Caenorhabditis elegans: one gene and its partners. The protein of the gene in region 1 interacts with the protein of each later gene in a pairwise test. Each region holds a gene or a part of one and is shown in the gene's direction. Other genes may lie near its edges. The genes, in order: Y77E11A.7, vhl-1 and trp-2.

Region 1 (11,853 bases):
TGTGGATTTCGTTAGTAGGACCACGTCGGCAAATGAGTCGGTGGTGGCGTTTAAAGTGAACAGTCTCAATGGAACATGTCCAACTGGCGCAATTCCGCCAACTTTTGATAATCAGAATGCAACGGTAAGTGATGTCCACTCAGCACGGTACATACATAGTGAATTTCCACTTGCAGGGTCATTTATATGTGAATGACTATCCACCATATTGGCCTTACCACACCGACTACACAATCTACGCAACACTCACCGGATGGAAGATTTCTTATAAAAGTTTTTAAACCTAAATGAGGATTTTAACTAACGTCTAAATAATTCCAGTGAACTACTCCTGCAATGGAAACTTTAACGGGCTACTGATCCATCCAGACGACAGAATGGTTTGTTTGAAGGTGAGATAGAAATTCAAACTTTCATTGAGAATGTTTTGTTTGAAAATCAGATATATCGAAACTCCAATACCGGATCATTCACATACAACGAAGCTGCCACTTCATGTGAATCAGCCGACAACGCACTATTAGCAGCTCCACTGTATCCGGAAGATCTCAAAAAGTTTTCAGGTAATATTTCCGAAAAAAGGTGCTGCACTTGTTTTTTCGGTGTTAAAGCTTTATTTTACAGAACTAGGAGAGGTTCAGCGTAATAAAACAGCTAATCGCAACATCTATGCCAGAATTGATGGAATTCGAACAAAAGCATGTCAATCAACTCCGCGTACACCTTATTGCATGTCTCCGAAGGTGAGGTATCAATTATGCAGTCTTGGATTAATTTTAGTCCAGTAGTTTCCAGTGGCCTGTGGCCTTAAATAGTCTCGCGCTGGCTTTCTGTCGGACCAGTCGTGCCTTAGTGGGAGTCTCCTGGAAAGCTATATATAGCTCCAAGAAGCTTCCGAATTCGCTATTCTGTATCACCCGTATTTTCTCTTTATTTAATCTTAACAGCTATGTAAAGCAAAACTATCGTTTCAGGGTTTCACATTCCTTAGCTCCGTTCCCACTTTCGAACATTACAATTGGGTGACCAACTCGTCCGCAATGGCAACCGCCAATGATAATTGTCTTGTGCTGGTTTTTAATGGGAACAATGCAGTGAAAGTGGATGTTAAATCGTAAATATTAAACCGAAACACCGTAAAAGACGTTAATCTTTTTTCAGATGCGAAGGCAACTTCAATCCCCTTCCAGCTCAACTATTTTTTTGCTCAAGTCCAGCATGGGTTTACAAAGTTTGGGATTATGACTGATTTTTGCTCTGAGCTGATGTATACTGATGAATGTATAGACTAATGTATATACATATGTATTTATGTAACCCCTGTATATATGTATACTACTCTTTTTTTTCACTAAAATCTAGTTTTTTGTTTTAAAATGTTTTCGGGAAGCCGTTTTCTTTAGTTAATAAATATCATTTACTATATATAAAGCGCTTATTCCGTGTGTCCATAGTTTGTAGTCTATGTAGTCTATAATAAAGGTATAGGATGTAACTGCCACTCACGCACACTGATCGATCTTATAAGGGTTTATTAAGTAAAGGGAACAGACGAATTGCATCGTCGAAACAGAGTAAACGAGAGAAGAGGGAAAACGACAAGTAACGGGTTAAAGAGTTAAGAAATGATCCTCAAATGAGCGTCCTCCTCTCCTTATATAGGCATTTCCGGGTTAAAGGCGCAGCCTTTAACGACGACGGGTCTCGACGCGACAATGCGACCAACGACATCTTGGCGGCGGTTTGAACTGGAGTTTCTCCTCCACACGAATTGTCCTCGCTGTAGAAATCGTTGTCCTTGACCGATTTCGTCCGTTCTTTCTGTAAATTATCAGAGAGAATTTACAGGCAAATAAATTAGTATTTATTTATGTAAAATGTGAAGTGAAAAGGGTGGGAATCCTTACACTATGTAGTCTGTGAAGTTTTGGCTTCTGGAAGGATAGTGAGTTGGGGTTAGTGTAGGGATATACATAGTTGGGGCTACTGTAGTGGTATAATAGTGGCACGGTAGGAGTACTGTAAGATTACGGTAGTTTCAGAAAAAGAGGTTTTCAGCTCCAGAAGTCGATTGCCTCGCCTGCATTTAGTTTTTCATTTAAAATCGAGACGCGACGCGCCGTGAATCTACCCCAGATATGGCCAAGCCAAAATGGCCTAGTTCGGCAAACTCTTCCATTTCAATTTATGAGGGAAGCCAGAAACCCGTGTTACACATTTTCCTGGAGTTTTGCTGACTTTCAAGAAAGTCGAGAAGTTTTCAGCCTATTCTAGAAAGTTGTAGAAGTTTCCAGGTTTTTCTAGGAAATTCTAGAAGTTTCTGGATCAATACTTCTTCAAAAGACAAAAACTCAATTTTCCCGAAAATCCTACAGTACCCCCTACCGTATTACTACAGTATCCCGACCATATCTCTCCACTAACCCTAAACAAATATCTCTTAAAAAGACAAAAACCCAATTTTTTCTAAACTACAGTAATACTACAGTACATTACCCCGAACGTGAAAGAAGCATTCAAGAAAATCGATGAATTTTTTTTTTTCGTAAAAAATTTTTTTTCAATAAATTCGCACCGTTTATTACACATTTCCCATGTTTTTTTCACATAAAAACCCGTTTAAAATCGCAACAAAAATCAATCAATCAATATATATATATATATATATATATCTACAAAAAAAATCGATAAAAATTTAGAAATGTTGAGGTAGTCGCATGTAGACCGCCCGTTCGAGTTGAGCCTTCCGCTGTGTCGTCGACAAGAAGCTCACGATGAGAATTGCGGCATTTACCACGTAGAACAGGTAAAACTCGTGGCGGCGGGATTGTTTTGGAGATGGACACGGGCGGAGCACAGTTGTCGACGATTTGGAGCAGTTTACACGATCGAAATAGCCGGTTTTTAGGCAATGACCTGGAAAAATAGGATAAATTTTTGATTTTCTGGTGAAAAAGTCGTTTTTTGCGGGTTTTTAAGGTAAAAATTGCGATTTTTCTGAATTTTTCCTAATTCTTTATCTCCCTACCAGCTTTAATAGCCTTAATCTCGAAATCCTTGCACGGTGCACACTGGGTGACCACTTCAAATGGCTCATGCTTCCAACATTCTTCCGCTGGATATTCCGTCACCACTTTTTCCAGTTTTCCGGTGGTTCCGCCGTGTTCCGTCTCTGAAAATTCAACTTTTTTTCCAAGTTTTTAGGTGGAAATCTTACTATAAAACGCTTTTTTCATCTCCATTTCGCTGTTCATCTCACTTTCCTCCGTGTACTCTTCGATGAAGAATACGAGAATCGAAAAACCGATTAGGGCGAGGACAAACGTGGAAATTTGCTTTGTACTGCAGTATTCCATCGTTTTTCTGCAAAAAAAAATGAGGGAAAATGAGTTATTTTGGCTTGAAATTGAGAAAGAAATTAATTAATTTCGTACTGTAATTTTTAAAGGTGCATAGAGGCAAATTCTGTGTTGGGTCTCGCAACGAAATACATTTATTTGCTGATTTTTGACAAAGTTTGAAACTTAACTGAAACTTGCGAGTTACGTTTGCCAAAAAATATGACAATGGGTTTCATTATTAGTATATAAACTTTTAATGAATTTCCGTACGAAAAATTGTTAATAAATGGCTTCAAAACCGTAAAAACTATTTTACTGTAAGTTTAAAGGTACATGAAGATTAACTTTTCAGCAGGTCTTGAAACGAAATACAAAAAACTCATTAAAATTTATTTTTCAACATTTTTTCTTGGTTTTTTTTTTCGGATAAAAAATTAATTTAAACCAATAATAAATATTTATAATTTGCAGAATTATAAAATTCTCCGTTACAATCTAACGTAAAAAAATTCATTTTTTGCTGGAAATTAACCAATAACTAGGAAAAAATCACAAAAATCCTCCTCAAAAACCGGAAATCCCCTTTAAAAAAAATCCACGACGCTCCGTAAATCGACACAGCCCTATCCACACAAACGCGCTCCAATCCCACCTTGCACACTCGAGACGCGGTTGCGCGTCGCGTGCGCGCGCGCTTCACTGCGTCTCCTCACTCACCGTGAACATCTGTGGCTGAGAAAACACAATTGATTCGGCCCCGTCCGTCGTCCCATTCCCGTCGAATTTTTGTATTCTTCGGCCACATTTTTTCTCACGGCCCCCGCGGCTCTTTTTATTTGAATTTTGTCGGAAATGCGTAGTTTTCTCAGGAAAATCAAGCGAAAATTGATTTTGAATCGAAAAAACCGAAAAATTCGATCGAAATTTGAATGTTTTCGAAAACAAATTCAAAATTTCAATTAAGCACCGTAAACTTTAAAGGCGCATGCTGTTTTTGCCACAACGGGTCTCGCCACGAAGGTGAAATTCACTGCTGTCCCTTTAAAGCGTACTGTAATTTATTTTTCGAAATTTTTTCTCAAATTTTGGGCAAATTTAGTCTTTTTTCTTTATTTTTCAGCGAAAAAACCATATTTTCAAACGATTTTTTTTCAGAAATGGAGACGAGAAAAGTTCGTACACCGTCCGCAAAGCTGCTCGCCGCCAAACAAGATGAAGTCTTCGAAAAAGTTATTCCTACAGCTCAACTCACACCGAAATCTACAATTTCTGCACAAATGGCGTGAGTAGACGAGAAAAATCCAAAAATATAAAAGAAAAATCAAAATTTTCAGCACTTTAGACCTATAAATAGTGAAAAAACCTTTAAAAATCTCGGGTTTCTATTCCAATTCTCCTAAAAATCTCTAAATTTGCTCGTTTTTTTTCAGAAAAGTCCCAGAATCCACGACACCAGAGCCACTTTCAGTCGACCAGGAGCGAGATATGACCCCAGGCGAGCACGAGCTCCAAGTTCACCAGAAACACCACCAAAGCCCGATTTTAGAGGAGGAAATCGATGTTTCCAACACTGAAATCGGTAAAAATTGGATTTTCTACATGAAAATGCGATTTTTACGCGGAAAAATTGGCGAAAATCCTCAATGATCAGGCAAAATTGGCGATTTTTAGGGGGAAAATACCAAAATTTACGATTTTGCTTTAAAAAAATCAGTTTTTAATCAAAAAATGTGTTTTTTCATTGGAAAAGTGCTGAAAAGTCGATTGTCGACTCTAAATTTGCAATTTCCCATTAAAACGTTCATTTTTTACCTAAAAAATGTAATTTTTTCACTTCAAAATTCTAAAATTTAACCTAAATGCTCGCGTTTTCAAGGAGAAACTGCCTAGAACTCAGGTTTTTACTTTAAAATTCAGTTTTCGGCTGAAAATCAGAAGCTACTACCGGAAAATGTTACAGTTTTCTATGAAATTTGTCTTAAAACTCGATTTTCATTTAAGAAACCAATTTTTCGCCAAAAAATTCTTTAAACCCCGGATTTTTACCTGAAAATGTTAATTTTCAAGCTAAAATCTCTTAAAAAATCAGATTTTCACTCAAAAAATCCCGAAAATTTTAATTTTCAAGCTAAAAACTCTAAAAATTCGAATTTCACTTCGAAAAAACCCAAAAAATCCAATTTTCAACCTAAAAATTCCCCAAAAAATTAAAATTTCATTTAGAAAATTCCCAAAAAATGTCATTTTTGAAGCTAAAACTTCCCGAAAAAGGCCAAATTTTAATTGAAAAACCCCTAAAATCTCAAAAATTCTCAATTTCCAGACGCGTCAGTGCTCGACGATCACATGGACACTCAAACAATGGAAATTGAAATGGAAATGGCTTTGAAACGCGAGAAAATCGACGCTCAAATGGTCTTAAACAGTGATTTTTCGGTTGCAAATGAGGTTACAATATCATCAATGAAATATCAAGGGCGTCCGACTCCGACTAGAAAGGTACCGTATCAAAATGAAGACGAACACCTCGTCACCACAATGCAGGTGATTTATCGCGGAAAATGGCATTTTTTCACCGAAAAAAACCCTGAAAAATGAGGATTTTTACTTGAAAAATCCTGTGAAAATGAGCAAAAACCACACCTAAAACGAGAATCCACTAAAAATGGCAAAGTAAAGTTTCAAATGCTCTGAAAACGATCAAAAATCGACCAGAAATAGCCGAAATTTCACAGAAAATTCACTGTAAAAAGCTGCTTAAAAAGAGCCAAAATAATGCCCTAAAATTCCGAAAACTCACTTTCAAATACCTGCGAAAAGCCTTCAGAAAGCGTCTAAAATCACAGAAAAAAAACCCCAATTTTTGCACAGAAATCCTCTAAAAAACCAGCAAAAACCGTCTCAAAAAAGTTTTGCAGCGTGTCGCCGCAGCCACCTCATTCACCGGAGAAACTCTCAATCTCAAATCTTCGGATCTCTCAATTCCCAACAAAGCTGCCCATTTCCTTTATTTCCGTTGCTACGAAGAACATGAAGTTCAGAAAGAATTCCCGTTGACAATCGATGAAACACGTAAAGGGCCTCAGAATTTCCTTGTTGAACCCCGTCACGGACTAAAAAATACCGATTATTATATTGATAGTTATTTGTGGAATCGTGGCAAATCGACGAGCTCGAAGAAGAAAATTTTTGTGGAAATAGAGGGAAATCATGTGAAAACGTCGAGAAGAACTGCCGAAACTGCACATTATGTGTTGAATTGGTATTATTCGAATATGGAGAATAGAATTTGCAAAAAGGTGCGGTGGAAATGCAGTTTTTAACCGAAAAATTTGAAAATTTCACACAAAAATTGACCTAAAATCGGGGTTTTTACCTAAAAAATAGCATTTTTCAGGCTAATGGCAAAAAAATGGATTTTTAACCGAAAAAAAAAAGGAAATTTCATTACAAAAATTACCTAAAGTCATATTTTTTACCGAAAAAAATGACATTTTTCATACTGAAATTACAAAAAAGGATTTTTCACCCAAAAATGGTTTTTTTTTTCATTCTAAAATTTCAAAAAGAATGAAGAAAAAAAATATACCGAAAATTGAATTTTTCACCCAAAAATGACATTTTTTTACTTCTAAATAAACAATAATCGGGATTTTTATGTGAAGAAATAGTTTTTGACCGGAAAAATTGAATTTTTCATCAAAAAATGACCTAAATCGAATTTTTACCCGAAAAATTACATTTTTCATGCTTTTAGAGTCGATATTCTTTGATTTTCATCACCGAATTCGATTTTGCCGCAAATTTTCACTTCTAAAATCGGTTTTCTGTGCTTCTAGCTCATGTTTCAGAATTTCCGGGTTACGGTAGCCCCGAAAGTACGCAAACACCGACTACAGTAACCCAAAACACCAGATTTCACGCAATTTTGAGCTACAGCTCTGAAAATTTACGTTGTAGTGGAAAAAAAATGCGGGGATTCCGAAAAATAACCGAAAAATTTGAAAATTTCACACCAAAATTGACCTAAAATCGGGGGTTTTTACTTAAAAAATAGCATTTTTCAGGCTAAAATGACAAAAAAAAGGATTTTTAACCGAAAAAATTGGAAATTTCATTACAAAAATTACCTAAAGTCATATTTTTAACCGAAAAAAATGACATGTTTCATTAAAAAAATATACCGAAAATTGATTGAATTTTTTGCCCAAAAATAGCATTTGTCATGCAAATATTATTCAAAATTCGGATTTTTTAGCCAAAAATTGATATTTTCGGAAAATGTGAAGTTTTCTTATGAAAATGACTCAAAATCGAATTTTTCACCCAAAAAACCACCTTTTTTTTGCCAAAATAGTTTACAAAACTGGATTTTAAGCCAAAAGCTCGGATTTTTACAAAAAAAATTAGAGATTTCTGCTGAAAATCGCTAGTTGTAAAATAATGCGGGAAATCCGAATTTCTTAATGAAAAATTTGCAATTTCAGCAGAATATCTAGAAATTCAATTTTTCAGTGTTCAAATTCGATATTCTTTGATTTTCATCACCGAATTCGATTTTCCTGCAAATTTTCACCTCTAACACTTTTTCTGCGGGATTCTAGTTCATTTTTCAGAACTTCCGAGTTACTGTAGCCCCAGAAGTACGCAAACACCGACTACCGTAACCCAGAAACACCCAATCTTACGCAATTTTGAGCTAGAGCTCTGAATATTCACTGCTAGAAGTAAAAAATAGCTGGAAATCCGAATTTCGTAGTGAAATCGCCGAGAAATGTGTTAAAACACGAGTTTTCCGCTGTTTTATTCGAAATTCTTGATTTTCATCACCGAATTCGATTTTCCTATCTATTTTTAGCTCTGAAATCGGTTGTCTGTGGTTCTAGCTCATTTTTCAAAATTTCCGGGTTACAGTAGCCCCAAAAGTACGCAATCACCGACTACAGTAACCCAATACACCGAATCTTACGCAATTTTGAGCTAGAACTCTGAAAATTTACAAGAAAGTGTAAAAAAATGCGGGGAATCCGAATTTCGTAGTGAAAAATCTCGAAAATTCCGAAATTTTGAAGAAATCTTAACAAATATCACAGCTTCAGGTGTGTTGGTTGGAGAGTCTTGTGGATAATAGTCGAGCATCACCTGTATTGGTACAGTATCACGTGAATTACCTATCGGATAACCCAATTGAGCTCCGAAAGACGCCCAAACTGTACAGTGACACACGTTCAGTGGCTCAGGAATTGCTGAGAAGTGATTCACCACTGCAAACTGTACAGAGATTTGTGGAAACGGGAGAAACCGATCCACGGGAGATTATCAATAAGAAACAGGTAAAAATTTGCGAAAAAATGTGAAAATCCGATAATTTCCATGTAAAAAATTGAAAAATTCACGAAAATCCGAAAATTTATGGAGTCAATTTTAAGTCAATTTTTTTTTGAGTCAATTTTTAACGATTTTTAGTCAATTTTTAACGATTTTTAGTCAATTTTTAACGATTTTTAGTCAATTTTTAACGATTTTTAGTCAATTTTTGACGTTTTTTAGTCAATTTTTGACGTTTTTTAGTCAATTTTTGACGATTTTTAGTCAATTTTTGACGATTTTTAGTCAAATTTTGACGATTTTTAGTCGATTTTTGACGATTCTAGTCAATTTTTGACGATTTTTAGTCGATTTTTGACGATTCTAGTCAATTTTTGACGATTTTAGTCAATTTTTGACGATTTTCAGTCAATTTCCCAGCCAAAAATTGAAAAATGCCATAATTTGTTTTTTTACACTGAAAATTCTTCAATTTATTCTCCTTTTTAAACACTTGTTTCCAATTTTTGAAGATTTTAACTGAAAAATTTAAAAATTGCTTTCAGACAAATATCACGATTTTTCAGGCTTGAAAAATGTCAAAATTTGAAGAATTTCATTGAAAATTTCCCAAAAAAAACTGATTTTAAAAAAGTCAAAAAATCAACAATTTTCGACGATTTTTAGCATATTTCTGAAAATTTTCACAGAAAATGCCACAGAAATTTTTCACCTAAAAATTCTTTAAAAAGCCCAATTTTAGACAATTTCAAGCCACTTTTCGACGATTTTCACAGAAAATGCTCTGAAAATTGCAATTTTAGACGATTTTCAGTCACGTTCCCAACTGAAAATTGGAAAAAAAAGTTAAAAATTTGACGATTTTATCCGAAAAACGTGAATTTAAAAAAACACGATTTTTCCATATTTTTCAACCAATTTTATACGATTTTTCACTGAATGAATTCGCTAAAAATTGCAAATTTTGAAGATTTTAAGCTAATTCTTACGAAACTAAAAATTTGGGCATTTTATTATATGGAAATTCTTCAAAAATTTTCAATTTTTCTAGATTTTCATTGAAAAAAGATGCGTTTTCCGATGAATTTTACACGATTTTTTAACTCTAAAACTCATTTTAAAGCCTGATTTAAAAAAAAACGTCGAAAAATAAACAATTTTCGACGATTTTTATCATTTTTTTTCCGAACTTTTCCACATTTTCAGCCCCATTTTTTCACCCGGAAATTCGCTAAAAATTCCCAGTTTTTCAGGCCTATGAAATGCGTCGATATGTGATGGCGAATGCCCGTAAACGTATGCATCGAAGAATGGACGACAATGGTGTCTATTATGACGATGAAATGTTTGAAGAAGTCTATTATAATGAGCCCGACTCGTTGCTCAATCCACCACGTCACAACGGCGGAGATGCGGCTAGAGTCGCTCAAATGGTACGAATTTCGACGGCGGAAAATTGAGCAAAATCGAATTCAGCTCGCCGAGAGCTTTCAAATGCGTATAATCATGACTAGGTTCCGGTGAATTTGAAATTTCTGGGTCTCGCCACGAAACGAGGTTACTGTAGTTTTCGTGATGGGACCTGGAAATTTCGAAAATATGCAGAATTGTCAGAACCCAGTCATGATTATACTTAAATCAAAGCTCTCGGCGAGCTGAACACAAATTCAGTAGTGAAAATTCAAAAAAAAGGTCCCGCCACGAAGGGTTACTGTGGTTTTCGTGTTGGGACCCAAAATTCTCGGAATTTTTCAAATTTTCACCAAACCTAGTCATGATTATACTTAAATCAAAGCTCTCGGTGAGCTGAACACGAATGTGAGATTGGAATTCAAAATTTTGTGAAAAAACTGGGTCTCGCAGCGATATTCTGATTTTCACCGAAAATTTTTAATATTTTTTCGCTCCGAGACCCAATAAATTTACATTTTAGGCTTTAGCCTGATTAAAGTTTGTCGAGAGCTGTTGATTCGCGTAGTTTTGGATTTTTTTGGGCCTCGCCACGAAATGGGTTACTGTAGTTTTCGTGGTGGGACCTGGAAATTTCGGAAAATTCGACATTTCACTAAACCCAGTCATGATTATACTTAAATCAAAGCTCTCGGCGAGCTGAACACAAATTCAGTAGTGAAAATTCAAAAAAAAGGTCCCGCCACGAAGGGTTACTGTGGTTTTCGTGGTGGGACCCAAAATTCTCGGAATTTTTCAAACTTTCACTAAACCTAGTCATGATTATACTTTAATCAGAGCTCTCAGTGAGCTGAACACGAGTATAGTAGTGAAAATTCGGAAAAAGGTCCCGCCACGAAGGGTTACTGTGGATTTCGTGGTGGGACCCAATTTTTTGCAGTTTCTCGAAATTTAACCAAACCTAGGCATGATTATACTTAAATCAAAGCTCTCGTTGAGCTAGACTCAAATTCCACAATAATTTCACACTCTAATCTTGAACATTTTCCAGGTTTGCCGCCAAATGGGTCGCCGCATCGAAAATCGCATAGCCTCAATGCTCGACAGTCGCCTAGGACCACCGAAAAATCACGCGGAAATGCTAACCGAATGGATGAATACCCTAATGGGATCAACTTCCGAAGACTATGATATTGTCATTCATAACGTTGTGAATTCGATGAAAAAGCAGCTCGACGAGATGCTCGGCGAGCCGCCCCAACACCACACTGAATATATGGATGAAGCCGGTGGTCCATCATCGACTAGTTCGATGAAACGTATGAAAATGATGAATTCGCATGGAGCAGCAGAGGATGATGAGGATGATGATGATGGGGGGCATCATCATGTTGTTGGAAATTCTGGAAAACCCAGATTTGAAGGTTGGAAAATTTCGAAAAAAATCGAGTTTTTCCGAGAAAAATCCATTTGAATCATGCATCATTTCGCGGCGGGACCTTTTTCCGAATTTTCACTACTATACTCGTGTTCAGCTCACTGAGAGCTTTGATTTAAGTATAATCATGACTAGGTTTAGTGAAAGTTTGAAAAATTCCGAGAATTTTGGGTCCCACCACGAAAACCACAGTAACCCTTCGTGGCGGGACCTTTTTTTTGAATTTTCACTACTGAATTTGTGTTCAGCTCGCTGAGAGCTTCAATTTGCGTATAATCATGACTAGGTTCCGTCGATGATTTTGGACATTTTCGTAAAAATTTGGGTCTCGCCACG
Region 2 (10,048 bases), on another chromosome or scaffold:
CACCCAATATAGGAAGATTAATGAACGGTTCTCTCAAACAAAATCACCTACCTTATACACAAACATCTTCGGCGAAACTTCGATGTCAGTTATGAACGCAGCCAATGCCATCAGATCCTGGGAAGACAGAAAAGCTGTTGCAGAGCATATTCATACCTATGTTGAGAAGAAAAGTTTACTTCACGAATTCGTTCGCAAAATTTCAAGTGAGATTGAGTTCAAGTTTATAAAAGCGTCAATACTTTTTTTGCAGATATTGGACTTCGAGAGCTCAGTGGTTTCTTTGGGGCAGCAAGAAAACCACTTCCATGGGATGCAAAGGAAAATCAAATCTTTGAGATGGTTTTCCCAAAGTTAGCTGTCTTTTTATACGCAACAAATCGAACCCCACATGTCGTCGCAGAAATGGAGCTTCTCTCTGAACATCAATACGATTTCAAGAAACATTTCAAAACGGCCAACAAGAAAAAATACAATCCAGTGAGTTTCAAATGAATTGTGTTCGTTACTCATTGTTACTCTCAGAATGGGCTCTGTTATTTGGAGGATATTCTGGATGTCTTCGAGGGACAACAGAGAAAGTATCCAAACTGGGATACCAATTGAGTCAAATTATACTCCGGTCATTTCAATTCGCCAATATCTCCAATTCATGTTCTGTGATGCCATCTTCAATGATCCCCGTTATTTTTAATTTCCTGAATATCATTTGTCATTTGATTTTAATAATTTATTCTCGACACATTTTTTTACATTCTTCATTCAAGTAAGGGCATAATAAATAATAATAAACTTTAATTACATTTTCTGTTTCTTTTCCAAGAGCTCTAACCATAAAATAAAAATGATTTAAGCTTTTTGTGAAACTTGCGTATTGGAAAACAAAAAACATATTATCGAGCTGCACCTTGGCAATGATTTGGCAAAACTTGATAAAATGCCTGACCGAGTTAGTGATTGATATAAGTTTTCAGTAGCCAATTTGCTTAAAGTGGATCATAGCCGCCACTGGCAACGTTATCATCGGCAGGACCTAAAAAGTCTTCGAGAAGAGATTGGGATGTTTTTTCGGCAGCCTTCTTTTTTGGAGTTTTCTTGGATTTCTTTGTCAATTTTTCTTCCTGCTCAGCTTCCTCCTCTGCCTTCACCTTTTTCGTACTTTTTTTGGTCTTTTTCTTTTTCGTGATTTTTTCCTGTAAATGAACATTTAACTTTTTTCATGTGAAAGTAAACGTACGATTTTATCGATTTCTTCCAAAGAATCATCCAAATTCACCGGTGTTCTAGACTCCGATGATGGTTTATCGTCGGAAATAGGTGCGAAAATGTCCAATGTTGGCTTTGTTATAGGTTCCGGAAGTTCCACTCCGAATTCTTCGTCGCTGCTGTTGTGTTGCTCAGGCACCTGAAACAATGCTTTAAAGATTCGATGGATATGGTATGATATCAAATACAAACGGAGTAAAATTTCAAAAAAAAAACAGGAAAATGATTTAGTATTCACAAAAATAACCGAACGGTCAAAGCCGGTTTTTAAGATGCCTGTTTTATTTTCTGAAAAATTGCTACACTATAATTATTTTGAAAATTATGATACAATTGTTCACTGCCAATCTTCGAATTTAAAATGGAAATTTAGTTTTTTTATTGAATGACAAAAGGTCGAGCACGTTATTAGATTTTATTTACTGAACGTACACTAAAAATTACTAACATTTTTTGTTTTAAATATATTGCTTTTATATTACATTAAAAATTCTTACCGTATTAGTTGACTTTGGTGACTGGTCATCAGAACCAAGCCAAGCATCCAAATCGTCTGACGTCATGGCAACTGTTAAGGGGTTGTTCGTAGGAAGTGGTGGTGGTGCTTCGAATTTTGGACTTTCAAAGCTCTGTAAATGTTTCTTGTTTATAAAATTCCTCTCTCGAAATAAGTGAACCTCTGATGCAATTGGCGGTTGTTCAATAACGGGCGAATCGACGTCATCGTCATGGACTTTAACATGATACGCTGTAAACATGAAATTCAAACACTTATAAGAAGTAATAACATCAAATCATCGTGACTATAAAAACTAACCGATTGGAGTTGACACTTCTCTTTCCACAGTTTCGGGTACTGCCAACTTCTTCAAATTCGACTGTACTTTTCTCTGCTCTCCAGCTTTTGCCATTCTTTCCATCAACTCATCGTCAACTGAGAAATCCTCTTCGAACTTCCAAACCATGTTATTTTCAGTCTCACTAAAAAAAGTTAAATTGATGATTATAATCCATACCCAGCTATTACCTATCACTTTCGCTTTGTTTGGGTTTAGTAACTCCATGGTTTTTTGTTTCTTGTTTTTCCCCTAAAAAGGTGTTGATACCGTCTTCATCTTCATCACCAACCATCTCGAAGGAGTGTTTACGGGTTGTTTCAGATGCAGGTTGTGTTGCTAAAAAAATATATATTATTGAAAAAATAAACACGGCATTCGTATGTCATTCATCCACAACAGGCTGTCAATTTCTTGAAAACCACGTTAAAAATGTTGTGACACTTTTGCTCAAATTTGTTTCTGAGATTCACAAACAGACTTCCGATTTTTTACTGTGACAGTTTTCCACTCAAAATGTAAATTCGTACCATTATTTTCTGACTGATCTATATTCGCGCGTGGAATCGTCGGTCTGAAATATTCTAAAGTAATTATTTCAGGTTCCTATTTTTCTCACGGCGTGAGCCTTTGTCCTGGAATTGGTTGTCCGCCACCCATGACTCTTCCAGACGTTTGTACAGCACCTTGTCTTGCCATTTCACTCTTTTTGTCTGCATACTCTCTTCTCTTCTGGTTCACAAGTTCAATAAAACTGAAAAATTCAAATTCTATTTTAAGAGTTTTTCGTAATATTCATGACTGCGCTTACGTGTCATAGTCGGCCTCTGGGGTCTCCTGATAGCAGTCAAGCTCGTGATAGCTAGACACAATTTCTGATTTATTCGTTTCTAATTGTCTGATTAATGATTCACGCTGAAACGTCATTAGTGAGAACTTGAGTAAAAACAAAATAATACCTGAAGGCAAAGGAAAGGGATGTTGAAAAAGTGATGTACGAATTTTAGTCCAAATGCATATCGCATTGATGCCGGGGCAAAACGAGCACGTGGAGAACCATCTGGGGAAGGATGACTACTGAAAGCAAAAATTCAGATAAATTGTATTTTTGAAAATGAAAATCTTACCTATTGAACAGCTCAACAAATGTCGAGCACTGTAGATCGGTGACTTGACGGTGATGACCCATGTCTCGACGATTTGCCAGAACAAGAACAGGAATCTTGTTCGGAACTTTCACAATCTCCTTTTGTACATACTCCCATGTCCACGTTTTTGTAATATCAAATACAAAAATGACACCATTTGTTCCTTTGTAAACATCGACAAAACGTGCATCGCAGGCTGTGTCCTCGTACTGAAATATGTGGAATATTACTGATTTTGTCAATAAAATTAAAGTGTGTTTGTTGAAATTTTAGTTTGAAATCAAAAATTTATCATGCTGTTAAGTTTTTGTTTCTTGATTTGAACCCATGTCAAACATTTGATGTGGAAACGGTAATTTACTTGAAATGAATTTGCAAAATCCAGTTTAACTAATTTTTGGCATTTTGGATGTTTCTAAATTAGTTTAACTTTAAACCTTTTGTCCATTCAAACCACTGACATTGATTCTGAAACTAGTTTAATATTAGCTCAGAAAGATTGATACGCATTAACAAATCATGTTGTTATGTTTTCAACCTATCATTTCCCACGCAAGTCAAATACCACACTCTACATATCGATGAGTTTTCTGAACTATTCGTGAAATGCGCTGTAACCGGTTTGTTGCAATATCACTTTGCATTTTTTAAACGATTTCTTATTCCGTTACCAGTGTACAAACATTGTCGGAAAATTCTTTCAAAGATTTCCATTCTTCGCTGAGGATATTTCTTCTTTAAACTATTTTCAGTTGTACGCATTTCTTAAGTTTTTCAATTTAAGACTTACATCTAAACCATCATTTTTATCCATCCCATTGTTCGCCAATTTTAACTTGTCATCCTTGACCCTTTTCTTAGTGGATTGATCTACAATATCCCAAACATCAACTTTGACAACGTCATCCGTTGCGCGATAGTTCCAGTTGATGTTGGCTACCTGGAATCAAACTTTGAGTATTTTTCAAATTTTGAATTTTTTGATGCAAGCAAAGTCTGTATCCATATCCAAGCAAATACGAGATCTTACTTGAATCTCTTCGGTTGCCACGTATTCCTCTTGAAATGAAAGCCCTTGAAGTCGTTTCCATAGACAAGTTTTACCGACGTTTCTGTCTCCGCGAATTACAATCTTCACTAAAAACATTTAATTACCAGAAGCAGGTGAAATGGAAAAAAAACTAACAGTTGTACTGTACTCCTCGAGCGAATTTTCTCTGCAATTCCGCGTCGACTCGTTGTACACCTGACGGCATAACAGTCGACTTGTTCTCTTCTTTGTCACCACCCAATTTTTTTCGTATTGCGGAGAACATCTGAATAATTTTTTGAAGAAGATTTGTTTGGTGCAAGTGCAAGTAGTGCTCAAATAACATTCAAAAAAGGTATTATTGTCTTGAAATAAAACAAGAGGAAAGACAGTACGTCTTATCAAAAATTGACAACAAAAAGATAAGATTTCTTATTGTTTTTATTTGTAATCGGTACATTGAACGAATTAATGGAAAAATTGGAAAAATTGAATTATCCGTACTTCGTTTTTTGAGCGAAAATTTTATGTTTTCTTCACACAACGGGGTTCCATTTGGCGTATCGCTGAAAAAACACGAATTCATACTTTATTCAAAGCTTTTTGACGGGTCCTGTGTATTTATTTCATTTACAACACTGAAGCTGAATCCAATCAAATCCTAGACGCAACGGATCACCAGAAGATCATCAGTAACAAATGATAAATGGAATTTGTTATTCTACCATGTCATGACCATCTTGTTCTGTCCTGTAATTCAACTTTCCTCATTTTATTTTTAAAATTTTTTGTTTTAAACGAAGAAATTTAAATTAAACTAGGCGTTTTGAAAAAAAAAATCCGTCAGTTTTAAAAAGTATTCTTACACAAACTTTTGACTGTGTTTTAAAATTTTAAATAATTTGTTTTCCAAATTAAACAAAAACTCACGTTGCATCAGGACTGAAGTGTCATAAACCGCTGTCAATCGGAGCACTGTCTTTGTTTTATCCAATTGGAGTTTTCATTTATAAAATGATTTTTGTGTGATTTTTTGCAAGCTGGCGTACAGATTTTCTTAATTGTCTGGCAACCCTTAGATTTTCTTCACAACTGATGTTAATCCCTGAAACAAAAAGTACGGTCAAGGCAACGCCCTTAAATCAATATTCAGGCAGAAAAGAAGTGTGCGGAGAAGAGTGTTCGACGGCAAGCAATACACTGGAGGCAATAGGATAGACGTGGTGGCCACCGAATGAATAGGGAGGCCTCTTTTTTGCAGGAGGGCTCTTTTCGTTTATATGCCTCGGTGAGCTGGCACTTAACGTTTTGTGTCGTTCCAAACCTAATAATCGGTGAAGACAACAAAAAATTGGTTTCTGATCAGACATTATTGGAACTTGTGTTTCAGATTTATCAAAATTATTGCAACTAAATTAGATTTGAAAAAAACAACTCAACGAACACATCATTTTCTGTTTTCAATCAATAAATAAAATCAAGTTAGAAAACATTTTACAATTATTGTTGAAGTACATTAATAAATTTTCAAAATAATAATTAAGCGTCGAGGTAATATCAATTTAGGTTGTTCTACACATCGTATTCGTGGCAGAGCTAACAAGAAAAGGCCGGGGACTAAGAATCCAGCCGTCTCGGCCCTCAGTCCACTACACCCGTCCACCTCTTTTTCACAGCGTCTTTTTTATTGATTAATACCTGGTCCTTTCGTGTTACTTTAAACGTTTAATTATTCATTATGATATGTGAAAAATATGTTTTTATTGGTTTTCAGAAGAAAAATGTCAGACGGTTCGATGGATGATGATGGAAGGTTATTTCCTGACTTGGGCTCATCAACACATGACAATCGAGAGATACGTGTTCGTTTCCTAAACAGATGTGCTTACCCCGTGGACGTGTTTTGGCTGAATCCATCAGTAAATTTAATTCTTACACAACGAAAAAGATAAAATCCTTAAATTACAGAAACAACCGACAAAATACGGAACACTTGCCCAAAAAAAGTATTTAGACATTAAAACTTTCAAGGATCATCCATGGGTTGCTAGGAGATCCTTTGATGGATGCAAAGTATTGGTAAACGAAAAAGAAGTATTCTGGCCGGAGCCAGCTCCTCGAATGAATTTGATTGTTCGAAATCATTGTGTCATCACAATGAAAGGTAGGCTTTTTTATTTTTAAAAGGTTACATAGAAAAATGGAAAAGAAAACAATTGAATAAATAATCAATTTCTTGAATTTTCCGACGTTAGTTTTACGATTTCGTTGTCACTTACTCAGTGAGTGGTAATAATGCAGAATAAATCGAATCACATGTTTCCCCATTTCTAACGATTAATTCCTCTTTGCACCTCACTTTTAACTGTTAATATTTTTTCAGTTCAATCCTTACGAGAAATTGCCGGACGTTCGTTCTTACGGCATAATCCAACTGAAGTTCCAAACAAAATCAAAGGACTTCCACGAGAACTACAATTTGAAGTCAAACATTTTCTGGATAGAAAACAAGAATATTCCGAAATAGTCTGCCGTTCAATTCCTCCTCCTGGACCCCAGAGACCTCAGCAATGATTCTAATTGTATATAGTTTCGAAAATTGTCATGATAGAAGCAATTCCATTCCCCATACGGTCGTTTTCTCAAAAGTAGCATTGAATACTGTTAATGATTTTTTCACCATTTTTGTCACAATTTTTGCTAGCATTTGTGGTAAAGTATTTTAAAAGCGCAAAAGTTATGTTGGCAAATGATGTTCTGTAAGATAATTTATTATATTTCATGTTACATTCGGACTGAAGTACAAGAAAAATTAATATGGTCAAAGGTACACACGACTTTCTAATTTCAAAAACAAACAATTTACAATTGAAAAAATTGGAGAGCAGAAAAATCAGCTTACGGCTTTTTTGCTGAAAATAAATTGATTTCAGATTTTAGTGCTCAATTCCCAGCGTTAGAATTCATGAAGTTTCGCATGCAATTTCAATATTTTTGTTATCATCACTCAAACCAATTGTTTTTGATTTTAGCAATTCAAAGCTTGTTTGTTCTCACAAGAACGCGGAACACGAAATGGAATATTCTTTCAAAATATTTGCATTTTACCAATTTAATATCCAATTCATTATTTATTATAATAATTTTTAACCGCATAAAACTTAGAACAAAATTTGAAATTCGATGACCCCTATTTACAACTAGTTGGACATAGGTAATGAGTATCAGCATCTAACCGGTTCAATAGGTATTATACAACAACAATTAAAAAAAAGGAAAATACTTCTAAAATTCTTAGAATAGCTATACAATAATTCAATTTCCAAACATTGTCGACAGGATAATGTAGACAATAATGAAAAATGTTATAGCAACATAATTATAGTACTCCTTTCTGCGCATTTCGTTGATTTCTCGTTTTAGACTATCTGCTTTTCGTTCCAAATCAATGCATTTGACGCGGAGTTGTTCATTCTAAAATTTATCAATTGTTTGCAAATATTGTTTTATTATTGATGTAACTCACTGATGCATCCAAAGTATTATCATACGCTCTTCTTGATTTTTCCTCCTCTCTCGATAGTTCGTTAATACTATCCAGTACGTTTTTCAGTGTATAATTCTGGATAACCTTGCTCATGCTGACACGCTTCCGGCAAATGGGGCAGTGAAACGACTGAAACACAGAGTGAAATCCTATTATATTAGCTTAAAATCTGCATACGGTTTTTTGAAAATACATATTCCATAAAATCTTTGTCCCGAAATGTTCTCGAGAAACAAGTCTGCGGACCAAGAGTTCCTGTTAGAATTAATCAATTGATATTCCATCTAACAAAACGAATTTTGAAAAGTAAAAAGTGCGCACAAAACTGAATTTCCCATTTACCGCTTCACTAACACAACACGGAACCCAAAGACCCTTTTCTCAAGACCATGCTTATAGAGGAATTACAATTACGGTTTACAAAACTTACATTTCGGTTTGGTTCTCTTGTATCATTCATCACTTCCGAATGAGCCACTTCTTCAATGCATCTATGACAGAATGAATGACCGCATGTCAGCGTTTGAGGGATTCCTTGAAATATGTTGAGACAGACAGCGCATCGTAATGTTTCTACATCAACTACGCATACATCAGCCTCGTCTAGGGATTTCAGTACCCGCTGAAATACATATATTCAACTCGAATTTTTTATTGTAGTAAATTAAATTGAAACTCTGCTCAACCATAGAGTTTTTCACCTGACCCGAAAATTGTTAAATAAAGTTTTTCTGATTGCTAATCGGTCTCAAATTGGATTCTAAAAACAAACAATGGTTGTCTTTCTATTTTCAAGTAACCGGGTATTTTTTGATTGAAAGAAAGAATTCAAATAATTTAAGTAACGTGACGATTTGAAAGAGAGCTATCATAATTTTGAATATAATAGTGAAGTATGTGTTTCCGTTCGCAAACTTCAATTTAAAAAAATTATTAGTATTTGTACATTTTTACACTTAAAAAACTCAATAAGTGTTTTTTTTTCTTCAGAAATATTCAATTTTGAAAATTGTAATTGATGTAAAACTCACTTTTTTATCCGCTTTCTTATCATCCTTTGGAATAAACCTGCGAAAAAATCCATACATGTTTTGTTTCACGTTCTGCTTCATCAGAATTAACTACCTGAAAGCATCCCTATAAATCTGAAGCAGAAATATTAAGTAATAAAAATGGCCAATAGAAACTTTAACGCAACGATAAAAGGACACAACCGGGCTCGAAATCGATGTGGAAAGGGAATGTGTTGCCTGCGTCTCTTTTGCGCGTTGATCTCTTACGATTAAGTCAGTCGGGGGCAACCCGGGAACACAAAACAACCAAGAGACAACAAGTGAAGAGGACGAGGAAAAATATCACTGGAACGATCAACAAAAGTGAAGAAGTGGAAAAACAATTAGTCCGAATGATACTTGAAAAACATTTATGATTGGAGAAAAGAGGAAAACTACAGATTAATCGTACTAACAGACAAAATGGACTAAATGACCAAAACATGTTTCATTAAGATAGAGAATGAACAGAGAAAAAAGTACACCGTGGTACTCTAAAATTCTCTATTTTCTCTATACTCCAACATGTTCTTTGTACCCTGATATTTGTGCGGGAACAGAGAAGAGACGGGTACAAAATATACGTGTATACAAACAAAATCAATTCAAAACGAAAAATAAAATGTTAATTTTAACATTGTTTAATGATTCTATTTTATCTTCTGATGTATAAAACTGACAGTCACAGACATGACATCATTTTCTAACCGCATTTTTGAGTAGTATTTCATTGTCAAACACAAATTTCATAAATATCAACTGTATTATCAAAGCCAGTAGAATTGATTGGAGATTTTGATAGAATGTAACAATCATTGATCCACTTTTGCGAATTTTCTTCAATGAAACCAATAGCGGTGCAGGTGTGCTGAAAAATAAAGTATGGAGAGATAGATGAAGTTTGAGTGAGATTTGTTAATTTTTACCTTCTATTTAAGCTTTAGTGCATTCATTTCTAACAAGGAACAACACTTTTTCACTGTTAAATGAGAAATATAGATATATGTGTGTTACAGTGCTGGCCAAAAAGATATCCACTTTTGGTTTTTTGTGTGTAACTTTTTTCTAAGTGGTTATTTTGTTTTGAAACTTCACCACAGTGTTCACAAAATCTAAAAACACAATATTCATCAAAAATGTTCAACAGATTTTGAAAAAACTTCAGAAAA
Region 3 (11,381 bases), on another chromosome or scaffold:
GTACCCCGATATGCCTGCAATTGTGACCCGGTTACGGAATTTACCTGTAGAAATTATGGAGGAAGAGTTCTTGGTGCAAAAGGTGGGAAAATTTTGATTTTTGGAGAATTGGGCGAATTTTCATAAAAATGCAGCGTCAAATTCGAGTTCTACGCAAAATTTCAGTCTAGAATCTTTTTAGTAGATATTTCTAGCTTAATTTTGAAGTTTTGAGGGGTACTGTAGCCCCAAGAGTACGCAAACACCGACTACAGAACCCCAATACATCAGATCTCACGATATTGGCTTCAAATAAGCTGAAAATTTTGGGTTGGGGTGATTTTACTATGCTGAGTTCGAATTTTTACATGAAAATAATAAAAACAAATTAGCCACACTTTCAGAAACCGAATTTTTTTCAGAAAACAAATATAATGTACGTTCAAAATAAAATAGCAAAATAAATATTGTGAAATTCGATTTCTACGCAAAATTTCATGCTAAAATTATTTTAGTAGAGCTTTCTATCTTCATTTTGAAGTTTGGAGGGGTACTGTAGCCCCAAGAGTACGCAACCACCGGCTACCGTACCCCAACACACCAGATCCTACGACATTGGCTCCAAATGACCGGAAACTTGCGGGTTAGGGCAATTTTAAGGTGCTGAACTCGAATTTCATACTTAAAACCCTGAAAAAATCCTAGTTTTAGCAACAAAATAATTAAAATTTTGAAAGAAAAATTTTTTCGAATTTTTTTGTTGAATATTTGAAATATTTTTAAGATCTCCGAAACCAATCTAAACGACGCGGATATGGAAAAACTTCATTTTGGAGCCATGAAAACCCGACAAATGAGATTTGACTGACCCCTCCCCGCCCCCTGTTGTTATATTTATCGATTATTGATTTTTTTATTGATTTTTCAACACTCACTTTTTTGTTGTTTCCATCAAAAATTCCACGTTTTTTGTGTGCTTTCGCATCTTGCCATATACCTCAGAACAGCCAAAATAAAATTTCCCTGTGATTTTGGTTTTTTTTTTTTTGCAAAAAAACATTTTGGAATTTTTTTTGATAGGGAGAAGCCTTGCGGTGGGACTATGGTGAAGCCGTTTTTGATGAGGAGATAGTTTTGAAACCCTAAAAAATTCAAATGTTGGTTTCATGGGATTATATTACTTTGTTGGAAAAAAAAAATGGAAAATTGAAAAAAATTTTGAAATTTTTTTTCGAGATTTTTTTTCGAAAAATCATAAAAAACTCAAAAACAACCTGAAATTAATTTATTTGAATTTATCACACTGCGACCTTTCCAATGACCCCCAACATGCCTAGGCTCCGCCCATTTTCCCCAGTTTTTGCATATTTTGGGGTCCCGCCACGAAAACTTGTGGATTACTGTAGCTAGCATTTTGTAAAAAAACTTAACATTTTCACCATTGAATAATATACGCTTTACAATTTTTTTCGGCATAAAAATAACTGAAAATCTCGCATGAATTTGAAAATTGAATTTTTTGCAAACATTTTTTTTCCAAAATTTATATAAAAATCGTAATAATTCCAAAAGAACTAGAAATCATATTTGATTGGTTTATTCAAATTTGTCACATTAAGACGTTTCCGCTGACCCCCGACATGCCTAGGCTCCGGCCAGTTTCCTTTCCCCAGTTTTTGCATATTTTGGGGTCCCGCCACGAAAACTCCTGGACTACTGTAGCTGCCTTTGTTCTGAAAGATTTGAAGGTTTTGGGACAAAATTGAAGATTTATTGAATGTTTTCAAGCAAAAAATAGGCTCAAAACTGGAGAAATTAACTCATTTTTTGAAATTTGGAATTTTTCACAAAAAAAATGGTTTTCGAAAATTTTTCTAAAAATCGTAAAAATTCAAAAACTGTCACAAACCTATTTTAAACAACTTATTCAGGCTGATCACATTAAGACCTCTAATGACCCCCAACATGCCTAGGCTCCGGCCATTTTCTCAGATTTTTGTAGTTTTGGGTCCCGCCACGAAAACTCCTGGATTACTGAAGCTACTTTTTTTCCGAAAACATTTGAGGGTTTTGGAGCAGAATTGAAGGTTCATCAAGTTTTTTCGCCCAAAATTTAGCTCAAAACTCGAAAAATTACCGAAGTTTTGAAATTTTGAGCTTTTCGCAAAAAAAAAAAATTCCAAAATTTTTTCTCCGAAAAAAAAATTTCAGAACATTTTTTCGCGCGCGCGGGAATACTTCATTTTTGTTGAATATGTGTGTATGTATGCGCCACACACTTTTTTGAAATTCAATTTATTTCGCGTTTCCCCCCTCCCATCCTCCTGAAGCTTAAGCCAAAAAATGGGGAGGGGGGAAGATGTGCGAAATTCTGTTATCTCTTCTTTAGCTCCGTGGAGCACAAGCTGCTGCTGCTCCTGTGCTGCTCTCGTCTATTTCTCAATTTTTGTTCTTTTTCACCCCCTTTTTGCTCCAGAATCCCATCGTCGTCCCCCAATCATGATGGCTTAAGACCCCTCCTAATGAAACATTTTTCATTATTTGGTTTTATGGAAGAGTCTTGGAGTCCTGGGAAATTTTTTGAATTTCTTACATTTTCAGCTTATATATTCCGTCAATTTTGAGTTCCGACACAGCTGAAAGCATAGCTACCGTACCCCGCGTGGCGAGACCCAAAATTTTTTAAATTGACGGAATATAGGCTTGTTGGGGGTCATTTGAAAGCTTACAATGTCCTAATCATAGAAATTTTAGTTTCAAATCTAGAAAATTAAACAATTTTTAAAAAATTGGGGAAAAATCTTTTCTTTTTGTTTTTTTCTGAAAAATCGTTTTTTGAAAACTTTGTGTGAAGTGTTGGTTCCTGATAGTGAGCATTTTCATAAAAATTTTTGACTTCCTTACATTTTCAGCTTCAAAATGACCCCCATCATGCCTATTTTCCGATCACTTTGGGTTCCGACACAGCTGAAATCAGAGCTACCGTACCACGCGTGGCGAGACCCAAAATTTTAAAACTAACGGAACCCAGGCATGATGGGGGTCATTTGAAAGCTAGAAAAAATCTTAACTTGATTTTTATAATCTCATTTTTATAAACTTAATTTTTTAAAGAATTTTTGGAAAAATCTTTTTTTTTTCGGAAAAAAATAGGACAAAAAAATTCAACAATTTTTTAATAACTTTTAATAACTTTTTGATCTCATTTCAATTATTTCCAACAATTTTTCCTGTCAAAGTCAAAAACTACACATAATTGCTGTTAAACTTTGCGGAAAAGTGATGGAAAAAGCGCAAAAATTATGAGCGTCTCCGGGAGAGAGATGTGTGTTTTAAAACGCGCATTATTATGCTCTCGGCGGAGCTTGTGAAGCTTAAAGTGTTTTCTGGTTTTAGTAATAGGGTTTTTAGAAAAAAAATTGTGTCGAAAATTTATTAAAAATTTTTTTAAAATGTTTTGCTGCAAATTTTTTTAATTCGTATTTTTGCAGCTTTATTCCCTATTTTTCGAATTTCTCATTTTCCTGGCTTCAAAATAACACCCATCATGCCTAGTTCCCGTTAATTTTGAGTTCCGACACAGTTGAAACCACAGCTACAGTACCCATCGTGGTGAGACCCAAATTATAAAAATCGATGGAATATAGGCGTATTGGGGGTTATTTTAAAGCACTCGATATCACAAATGTAAATAATATAAATTCAAATTTAAAAAAAAAACCAAAAATTAATAAATTGTGGAGAAAATATAAATTTCTTCAAAAATTTTTTTTTTGAATATTTTTTGAATATTTTTTAAACACCCACTTAATTGTAGGTTTTTTTCCGTATCAGTTTTTGAACTTTTTTATTTTAGCTTCAAAATGACACCCATCATGCCTAGTTTCCGTCAATTTTAAGCTCCGACACAGCTGAAACCACAGCTACAGTACCCCGCGTGGCGGGACCCAAATTCTCGAAATCAAAGGAGTATAGGCAATATGGGGGTCATTTTGAAGCTATTGTCGTTCTGAAATTAATAAATAAACTTCTTTAAAGATTTGAAAATCGGTTAAAAAAATTTTGGAGGATTGAAAAAAAATGTTATTTAAAAAATGTTATCCAAAAAAAATTTAATACAATTTTTTCAGTATTAAATTTTAGTGTATTATCTTTTTGAAATATTTTTCAAATCAAAAACGTCCCTAACTAAAATACATTTTTCCGTCAGGCGATCTGGAGAAAATAAAAATATTGTGCTCTAAAAAGTGTCAGATTTCAGATATTTTATGACACTTTTTCTTTTTTTTTTGTAATTCCCTCCAATTTTAAAATTTTTTCATAAAATACGTGGTTTTCTGATGCCCTTAATTTTAGCGGTAAATTTTAAAAAAATTCGGAATTTCTTTGTTTTTTAATTTTTTTCAAATTTCGTCCCAAAACATCGCAAATTTTCCCTAAACCCTTCCATTTTCCAGCCAAAATGACATCATCAGAAGCATCCGAGTTTCGGATGATTGAAGATGACGATGACGTCAGCAACAATGTCACGTGGACCGAGTCGGACAACTCGCGGCTCCGCGAGAAGCAGTTCCTGCTCTCCTGCGAGCGGGGAGATATTGGGAGTGTTAGGAAGCTTTTGGCTGGAATTTCAACGGAAACTTTTAATATAAATTGTTTGGATCCGCTTGGCAGGTAGGTTTGATAAAGTTTGAAAAAATTAAATTTTTGAAAAAAAATTTTTTTTTTCGAAATGTTGCAAATTTCTTTACAATTTCTACAATTTCTTTCTTGAAAATAAAAATTTGAATTCAGCACCCCGAGAGCTTTCAAATAAGCCTCATCATGCCTATGATTTGTCAATTTTGAAATTCGACACAGCTGAAACCATAGCTATACTACCCCGCGTGGCGAGACCCAAAACTTTCAAAATTGATTAAACTAAGGCATGATGGGGGTCATTTAAAAGCTGAAAACGTCGATAATTTAAATTTTTTGAAATTAGCTTGAAAAATGGAAAATTTTGCAAAATTTGAGGAAAAAAGAAAAAATTTTTGTTTTTTGAGGAAAATTTTCTCGAACTTTTTAAATTTTCTCATATATTTATTTGCATTTACGATACAAAAAGCTTTCAAATTACATCCAACATGCCTTGTTTACGTCAATTTTAAGTTCCGACACAGCTGAAATCAGAGCTACAGTACCCCGCGTCGCGAAACCCGAAAATTTCAAAATTGACGAAACTTAGGCATGATGGGGGTCATTTAAAAGCTGAAAGCGTTGTAAATTCGAGTTTTATAAATAAAATGCAATAGCTCTAATATTTTTTCGAGAAAATTTTGAAACTAATAAATTTTTGAAAAATTTTTTTTCAACATTTTTTAAACTTTTCTTTCCCCGAATAAAATATATTTTATAGCATAGTACACTTGAATTTTTACGGGCTCCGCGAGTTCCGGTTTATATCTTATTCCCCCTCCCGGTTGCAGAAACGCGCTTCTCATCGCAATTGAAAACGAGAACATCGAGATGATCGAGTTACTATTGGACCACAATATTGAGGTTTCGTTTTGCACACTTTTTTAAAGAAAAAAAGCATTTTTAAAATGTGCTCGAAAAATAAGCCTAAAGTGAGAAATTCTGGAAAAAAAAATTTTTTTTTGAAAATTTTATTTGGAATTTTTTTTTTGGAATTTTTTTTTTGGAATTTTTTTTTGAATTTTTTTCGAAGCCCTTAATTATTTGTTTTGAAATTTATTATTGTATGTCACAAAAACAATTTCTGCAACAGAAGCCAAATTGAAAATCTGGGCAAAAAAAAATTGTTTTTCACAGATTTAAATGTTTTTTTTTTCAAAAAAATTGTTCTACTTCGAAAATCTAAATTTTTAACTCATTTTTTGTTTAATTTCCAAAAATTTTACAATTTCAGACCGGCGACGCAATTCTCTACGCAATTGGAGAGGAAAACGTGGAGGCGGTGGAGATCATAGTGGAGCACCTGGAAAAAATGGACAAATTTGACTCGGAGGTACTTTTTTCGAATTTTTTATATGAAATTTAACGTAAAATTTAGTTTCAGCGCACTGAGAGCTTTCAGAAAAGTATAATCATGACTGGGTTCTGAGAATTTTTAATTTTTCGGGAAAAAAATTGGGTCCCGTCGGGAAAAAGTCTCGGGGTACTGTAGGAAGCGAACTTTTCATTTTGGATTAACTTTTATAACAAATTCAGATAACTGGGTTAATTTTGAGATAGGTTTCAGGAAAATTAACCGAAAACTGAAAAAGGTACGAATTTTCGAAAAAAAATTTTTTTTTAATTTTCACAAAATGTTTTTTTTAGAAAATCTCTCAAATTGAAATTTTGAATTTTTCACATTTTAAGCTTCAAAATGACCCCCATCATGCCTAGTTTACGCCATTTTCATGTCTTGACACAGCTGAAACATAGCTACCGTAACCCGCGTGGCGGGACCCAAAATTTCAAAGTTGGCGGAACCTGGACATGATGGGGGTCATTTGAAAGCTCTCAGTTAGCCCAGTGCAAATATTATAACATTTTTGTTAAAAGTTCAAAAAATTGGTTAAAAATTGTACTTTCAAAAAAAAAACATTTTTTTTTGAAAATTTGAAATTTTCTGAAATTTCAGCGCCAAGGAGTGGAGATCACAGAGCACTCAGCATTTACTCCAGACATCACACCAATAGTGTTAGCAGCTCACAAAGACAATTACGAGTGCATAAAGCTGTTTTTGGACAAGAAGGGTACGGTACCCCACCCCCATGACGTCAGATGCTCCTGCCCCGAGTGCTACGTGGCAAGGGAAGAGGATTCTCTGCGACTTTCTAGGTCACGGATAAATGCCTATAGAGCACTTACAAGCCCGTCGCTCATCTGTCTTTCCGCTCGAGACCCGATTTTGTACGCTTTCGAGCTGAGCTGGGAGCTCAAGCGGTTGAGTTTTATTGAAAATGAGTTCCGCACAGATTATGAGGTGAGTTGGGAGGGGAAACAGTTTTTTAATAGGATAGAGCATAAGAAGAGCTTTCAGAAAAGCTTAAATTAGTATAGGTTTCAGTTGGAAACTTTTCTAAAATTTTGGGAAAAAACCAAAAAAAAATTTTTTTTTTGAGTTTTTTTTTTCAATTTTTTTTAGTCTCAAAAATAGTGAGATACTGTTTTTGTGTCATTTTTTGCATTTTTCCCATAAAACTTAAGCTTCCGTCTATTTTTTTTCTCGAAAAATTAGCTAAAAATCTTCAAAACTAACAAGGTTATGAATTTTTGAAAATTTTTTAAAATTCAAAAAAAAAATTTTTTTCTAAAATTTAAAAATCGCTAACTCCGCCAGTTTTGTGCATTTTCCGCAGTTTAGTGTAAATTGAAAGAGATTTTCTAGATTTTGTGATAAAAATACTACCAAAAACATTTTTCGTACTAGATACAGTACCCCAAGAGTTTTCGTGGTGGGACCCAAAACTTTTAAAAAATTTCTGAAAACATGCAGAACCTAGGCATGAATATACTTTTCTGAAAGCTCTCATAGTGCTTAATTCAAATTTTAAATTAATATTTGCTCAAATCTAAAATTAAACTCCAGGAGCTCTCCCAAAAGTGCCAAAAATTCTGCGTTCACATGTTGGACCAGGTGCGGGGCTCCAAGGAACTGGAGGTGGTGCTCAATCACACTACAAATGCGTGGCACGATGTGACGTCAGCAAATTATGGAAATCCAGAAAAATTGGCAAGGTTGAAGCTGGCAATACAGTTATCGCAGAAAAGGGTTGGTGAAATTTGAAATAAAATTAATTTTATTTTTTTTCAGAATTTTTTTTTCTGAAACTTGCATGAAAATATTTAATTTTTATTTTACTAAGTTCGCTTTGTTGAGAGCTTCAAAATGACACCCATCATGCCTATGTTTCTTCAATTTTGAGTTTCGACACAGCTGAAACCCTAGCTACCGTACCCCGCGTGGCGAGACCCAAATATTCAAATTCCACGGAATATAGGCATGATGGGGGTCATTTTAAAGCTCTCATTGTGTTTAATTCGAATATTAACATTTTTACCGGTTTACGAGACATTTCAGAGAAAAATTGGAAAAAATTCAAATTTTTTTTTTTTGATAATTTTCTAACTTCCAGTTCGTCGCCCATCCTAACTGTCAGCAGCTGCTTCTGGATATCTGGTATGAAGGTGTTGAGTCAGTGAGATGTACTAACTTTATATATAAGGTGAGAAATTTTAAGGAAAAATTCTTCGAAATTTTTTTTTAATTCCAAAAAAAAATTTTTTTCCAAATTAAACTTTTTTCAGCTAATTTTCTACATTCTCGGAATGCTCAGTTTTCCGTTATTCTCACTTGTCTACTTACTTGCTCCGCACTCCTCAATGGGACAATTCGCCAAGAAGCCATTCATCAAGTTCCTTTCGCACTCTGGAAGCTATATTTTCTTTCTGAGTGGGTGGTTTTTCGGGAAAATTTTGTTTATTTTGTGAGAAGACTTTAAAATTTAAATTCAGTGAGTTGCGAGCTTTCAGAAAAGTATAAGCATGCCTAGGTTCCAGCTATTTTCAAACTTTTTTTTTCTGTTTTTGGGTCCCGCCACGAAAACCTCTTGGGTACAGTAACTAGGAGGGAGATTTGAAATTTTATATTTTTCCTATGGCAAGCATACATTTTCACATTTTCTAGAACATAAATTAGCAGAAAATCTCGAAAATGAACAAAGTTATCGATTTTCGAAAATTTCCGAAAAAAAATTTTTTTTTGAAAAATCTTTTTTTAAATTTCAAACTTTATTAATAACTATTTTCAAATTTGAAATCTTCCTGCCAATTGCTTCAAAATGACCCCCATCATGCCTATATTCCGTTGCTTTTGAGTTCCGGCACAGCTGAAGCCAGTGCTACAGTACCCCGCGTGGCGGGACCCAAATTTTCAAAGCTGGCGGAACCCGGGCATGATGGTACTTTTCTGAAAACTCTCAGTAAGCTGATTTCAACCAAGATAAAATTTTCTACAAAAGTTAAGAAATGACAGAGAAATTTGAGGTTTTCAAAAAAAACCCAAAAAAGCTACAGTACCCCAAATTACAGTACTCCTTATCATGGCAAGTCAACGTATGAACGTCATCGACAACATCCTACGCACTGATGACGTGGATCGCAAGGAGACACGTGGACCCCCGCCCACCATAATCGAATGCGCTATATTTTTATGGGTTTTAGGTGAGAATTTGGGAATTTTTGGGATATTGATTATCGATTTTTTATAAATTAAATTTTTCGATTTTTCTTTTGTTTTTTTTTTGAAAAAATTTTCAAGAAAAATTGGTTATCGATTTTTTCAAAAATTTTTTTGGATTATTGGTTTTTTTTTCGAAAATTTTTTTTTGGATTATTGATTTTTAGGAATTTAATTATCGATTTTTTATCGATTCTTAACTTTTTCAGGATTAATATGGGTTGAAATCAAGCAACTGTGGGAGTGCGGTCTCTACAATTATTGCCGAAATTTGTGGAATATTTTGGATTTTATCACAAATTCCTTGTACCTTTGCACCACCGCCCTACGTGTGGTCGCCTATGTTCAGGTATTGTAGTTTGTAGTTTGTAGTTTGTAGTCTGCAGTGTGTATAATTGTCACAAAAAAATTATTTGAAAAACTCTAAAATTGAAAAAGTTATCAATTTTCCAAAAAAAAATTCTGGGTCCTGTTGCGAAAAGTCACTGTAACTCGATGAGAAATTAGGTTTTTCGAATTTTTTCTACAAAATTCAAAATGCTCTGCAAAAATTAAGCTGAAGTCTAAGTCTAATTTTTTAAGTCTAAAATGATCGGAAAATCTCCAAAACTGAGAAAGTTATGAATTTTCAAAAATTTAAGTTTTTAATTAAAAAAATTTTTTTTACAATTTTTCAAAAAATGTTTAATTTTCTCAGATGTCACAAAAATACTTCAAAATCAAATAAATTACCATTTTCAGGTAGAACAAGAAGCTCTGCGAGCCAACTCGGTGCACATCGCTCGTCACCTGCCCCGCCGCGACTGGGATGCCTGGGACCCCACACTGCTCAGCGAGTGCTTTTTTGCCACTGCGAATATTTTCTCCTCACTGAAATTGGTGCACATTTTTACAGTGAGCCCACACTTGGGACCACTTAAAATTTCTTTGGGTGAGTTGGAAAAATTTTGGAAAAAAAAAACTTTGAAATGTTTTTTTGAAAATTTTTTTTTTTCAAAAAAGTCTAACTTTTCAGGCCGTATGGTAATCGATATTGTGAAATTTTTTATGGTCTACGCACTGGTACTATTCGCATTTGCATGTGGGCTCAATCAACTGCTGTGGTGAGAGAAAAAGCTTTTTTTTTTGCAAAAATTGTTTTTGTACGATTTTTTTTTCCAAAACCGGTTTTCAACACATTTCAGCAAGAAATTTGAATTTTGCACACTTAGAGCTTTAAAATGACTCCCATCATGCCTAGAATCCAACGATTTTTAGAATTTGGGTCTCGCCACGCGGGGTACGGTTGCTGTGGTTTCAGCTGTGCGTAGCTCAAAACCGCCGGAGCATAGGCATGTGAGGTGTCTTTCGAAAGCTCTCAGTCAGCTGAAGCCAACAAAAGTATTAAAATTTGATAAATATGAAAAATAAAGGTTTTGAATTTTTCGAAAAAAAAATTTTCGAAACTTTTATTTTATTTTTTAATAATGTTTTCTCAAAAATTTTTTAATTTCCAGGTACTACGCCTCAATGCGCCAAAACGAGTGTAATTTATATGAGCAGTACAAAAACGAAAAGTCATTGAGCTACAAGTATGAGCACTTGAAGGAATCGTGTGACGACAAGTACAAATCCTGCTCGAGGTTTGGATTTTTGGCTGAATTTTTTTTAATTTTAGATAACTCAACTGTAAATGTTAATTTTCCAATTCAGGAAACTGTGAGTTTTCAGAAAAGTATAATCATGGCTAGTTTCTAATTTTCTGCGAAAATGTCGGGTCCTGCCGCGAAAACTCCTGGGTTACTGTAATTAACAGACAAAAAATTGTATTTTATTTTTTCTAACAAGAAGATTATCTGACGTACATAAAAAACTAAAAATTATCAAAATATCTCACGAATTGATAAAGTCACGAATTTTTGAAAAACTCAAAAAAAAATTTGAAAAATTAAAAAATATTAATTTTTGGAAAATTTCGAAAATTCATAACTCGGTTCATTTTCAAGATTTTTGCTTGATTTTTGATACAAAATGGAGTCACTGCTCAGAGCTACCTGGTAATATTTTTTTAAAAACTATACAACTTTTCGTGGCGGGACCCAAACCCCCAGATTTCAGCATCTACCACACCGCGGAAACTCTATTCTGGGCCCTGTTTGGCCTGGTAGATCTCACGCATTTTCGGTTAAAA

Evidence for each region.
Region 2: the proteins of Y77E11A.7 (region 1) and vhl-1 interact in a two-hybrid assay, tested with the Caenorhabditis elegans proteins (one large-scale study listed by BioGRID).
Region 3: the proteins of Y77E11A.7 (region 1) and trp-2 interact in a two-hybrid assay, tested with the Caenorhabditis elegans proteins (one large-scale study listed by BioGRID).

What each region holds. Positions count from the first base shown.
Region 1 is NC_003282.8:1,412,491-1,424,343, reverse strand, and holds the start of Y77E11A.7 (Dynein heavy chain 1, axonemal), read left to right. Parts: upstream 1-4,498; coding exon 4,499-4,623; intron 4,624-4,771; coding exon 4,772-4,920; intron 4,921-5,664; coding exon 5,665-5,885; intron 5,886-6,259; coding exon 6,260-6,640; intron 6,641-8,434; coding exon 8,435-8,674; intron 8,675-9,032; exon of another isoform or gene 9,033-9,084; intron 9,085-9,922; coding exon 9,923-10,102; intron 10,103-11,130; coding exon 11,131-11,503; intron 11,504-11,853. Other genes in the region: Y77E11A.8 (PAN-3 domain-containing protein), read left to right, coding at 1-124, 177-273, 322-392, 443-563, 625-743, 975-1,114, 1,162-1,249; jtr-1 (Protein JTB), read right to left, coding at 2,696-2,916, 3,029-3,172, 3,218-3,356.
Region 2 is NC_003284.9:11,301,308-11,311,355, forward strand, and holds vhl-1 (von Hippel-Lindau tumor suppressor homolog), read left to right. Parts: upstream 1-6,048; 5' UTR 6,049-6,061; coding exon 6,062-6,199; intron 6,200-6,248; coding exon 6,249-6,444; intron 6,445-6,663; coding exon 6,664-6,854; 3' UTR 6,855-7,211; downstream 7,212-10,048. Other genes in the region: F08G12.3 (RasGEF domain protein), read left to right, coding at 1-206, 254-480, 526-606; F08G12.1 (Rab-like protein 6), read right to left, coding at 987-1,193, 1,238-1,405, 1,764-1,895, 1,944-2,014, 2,084-2,247, 2,294-2,441, 2,633-2,676, 2,722-2,856 and 6 more; F08G12.5 (RING-type domain-containing protein), read right to left, coding at 7,596-7,754, 7,807-7,956, 8,258-8,449, 8,859-8,915. UniProt on the Caenorhabditis elegans protein: Involved in the response to variation in environmental oxygen levels by targeting the hypoxia-inducible transcription factor hif-1 for proteasomal degradation when oxygen levels are normal (around 20%).
Region 3 is NC_003281.10:987,440-998,820, forward strand, and holds the start of trp-2 (Transient receptor ion channel domain-containing protein), read left to right. Parts: upstream 1-4,441; coding exon 4,442-4,653; intron 4,654-5,447; coding exon 5,448-5,520; intron 5,521-5,890; coding exon 5,891-5,989; intron 5,990-6,610; coding exon 6,611-6,955; intron 6,956-7,561; coding exon 7,562-7,744; intron 7,745-8,108; coding exon 8,109-8,198; intron 8,199-8,280; coding exon 8,281-8,425; intron 8,426-9,063; coding exon 9,064-9,195; intron 9,196-9,420; coding exon 9,421-9,560; intron 9,561-9,952; coding exon 9,953-10,142; intron 10,143-10,226; coding exon 10,227-10,314; intron 10,315-10,707; coding exon 10,708-10,833; intron 10,834-11,308; coding exon 11,309-11,381. Other genes in the region: tbc-10 (Rab-GAP TBC domain-containing protein), read left to right, coding at 1-82, 764-847.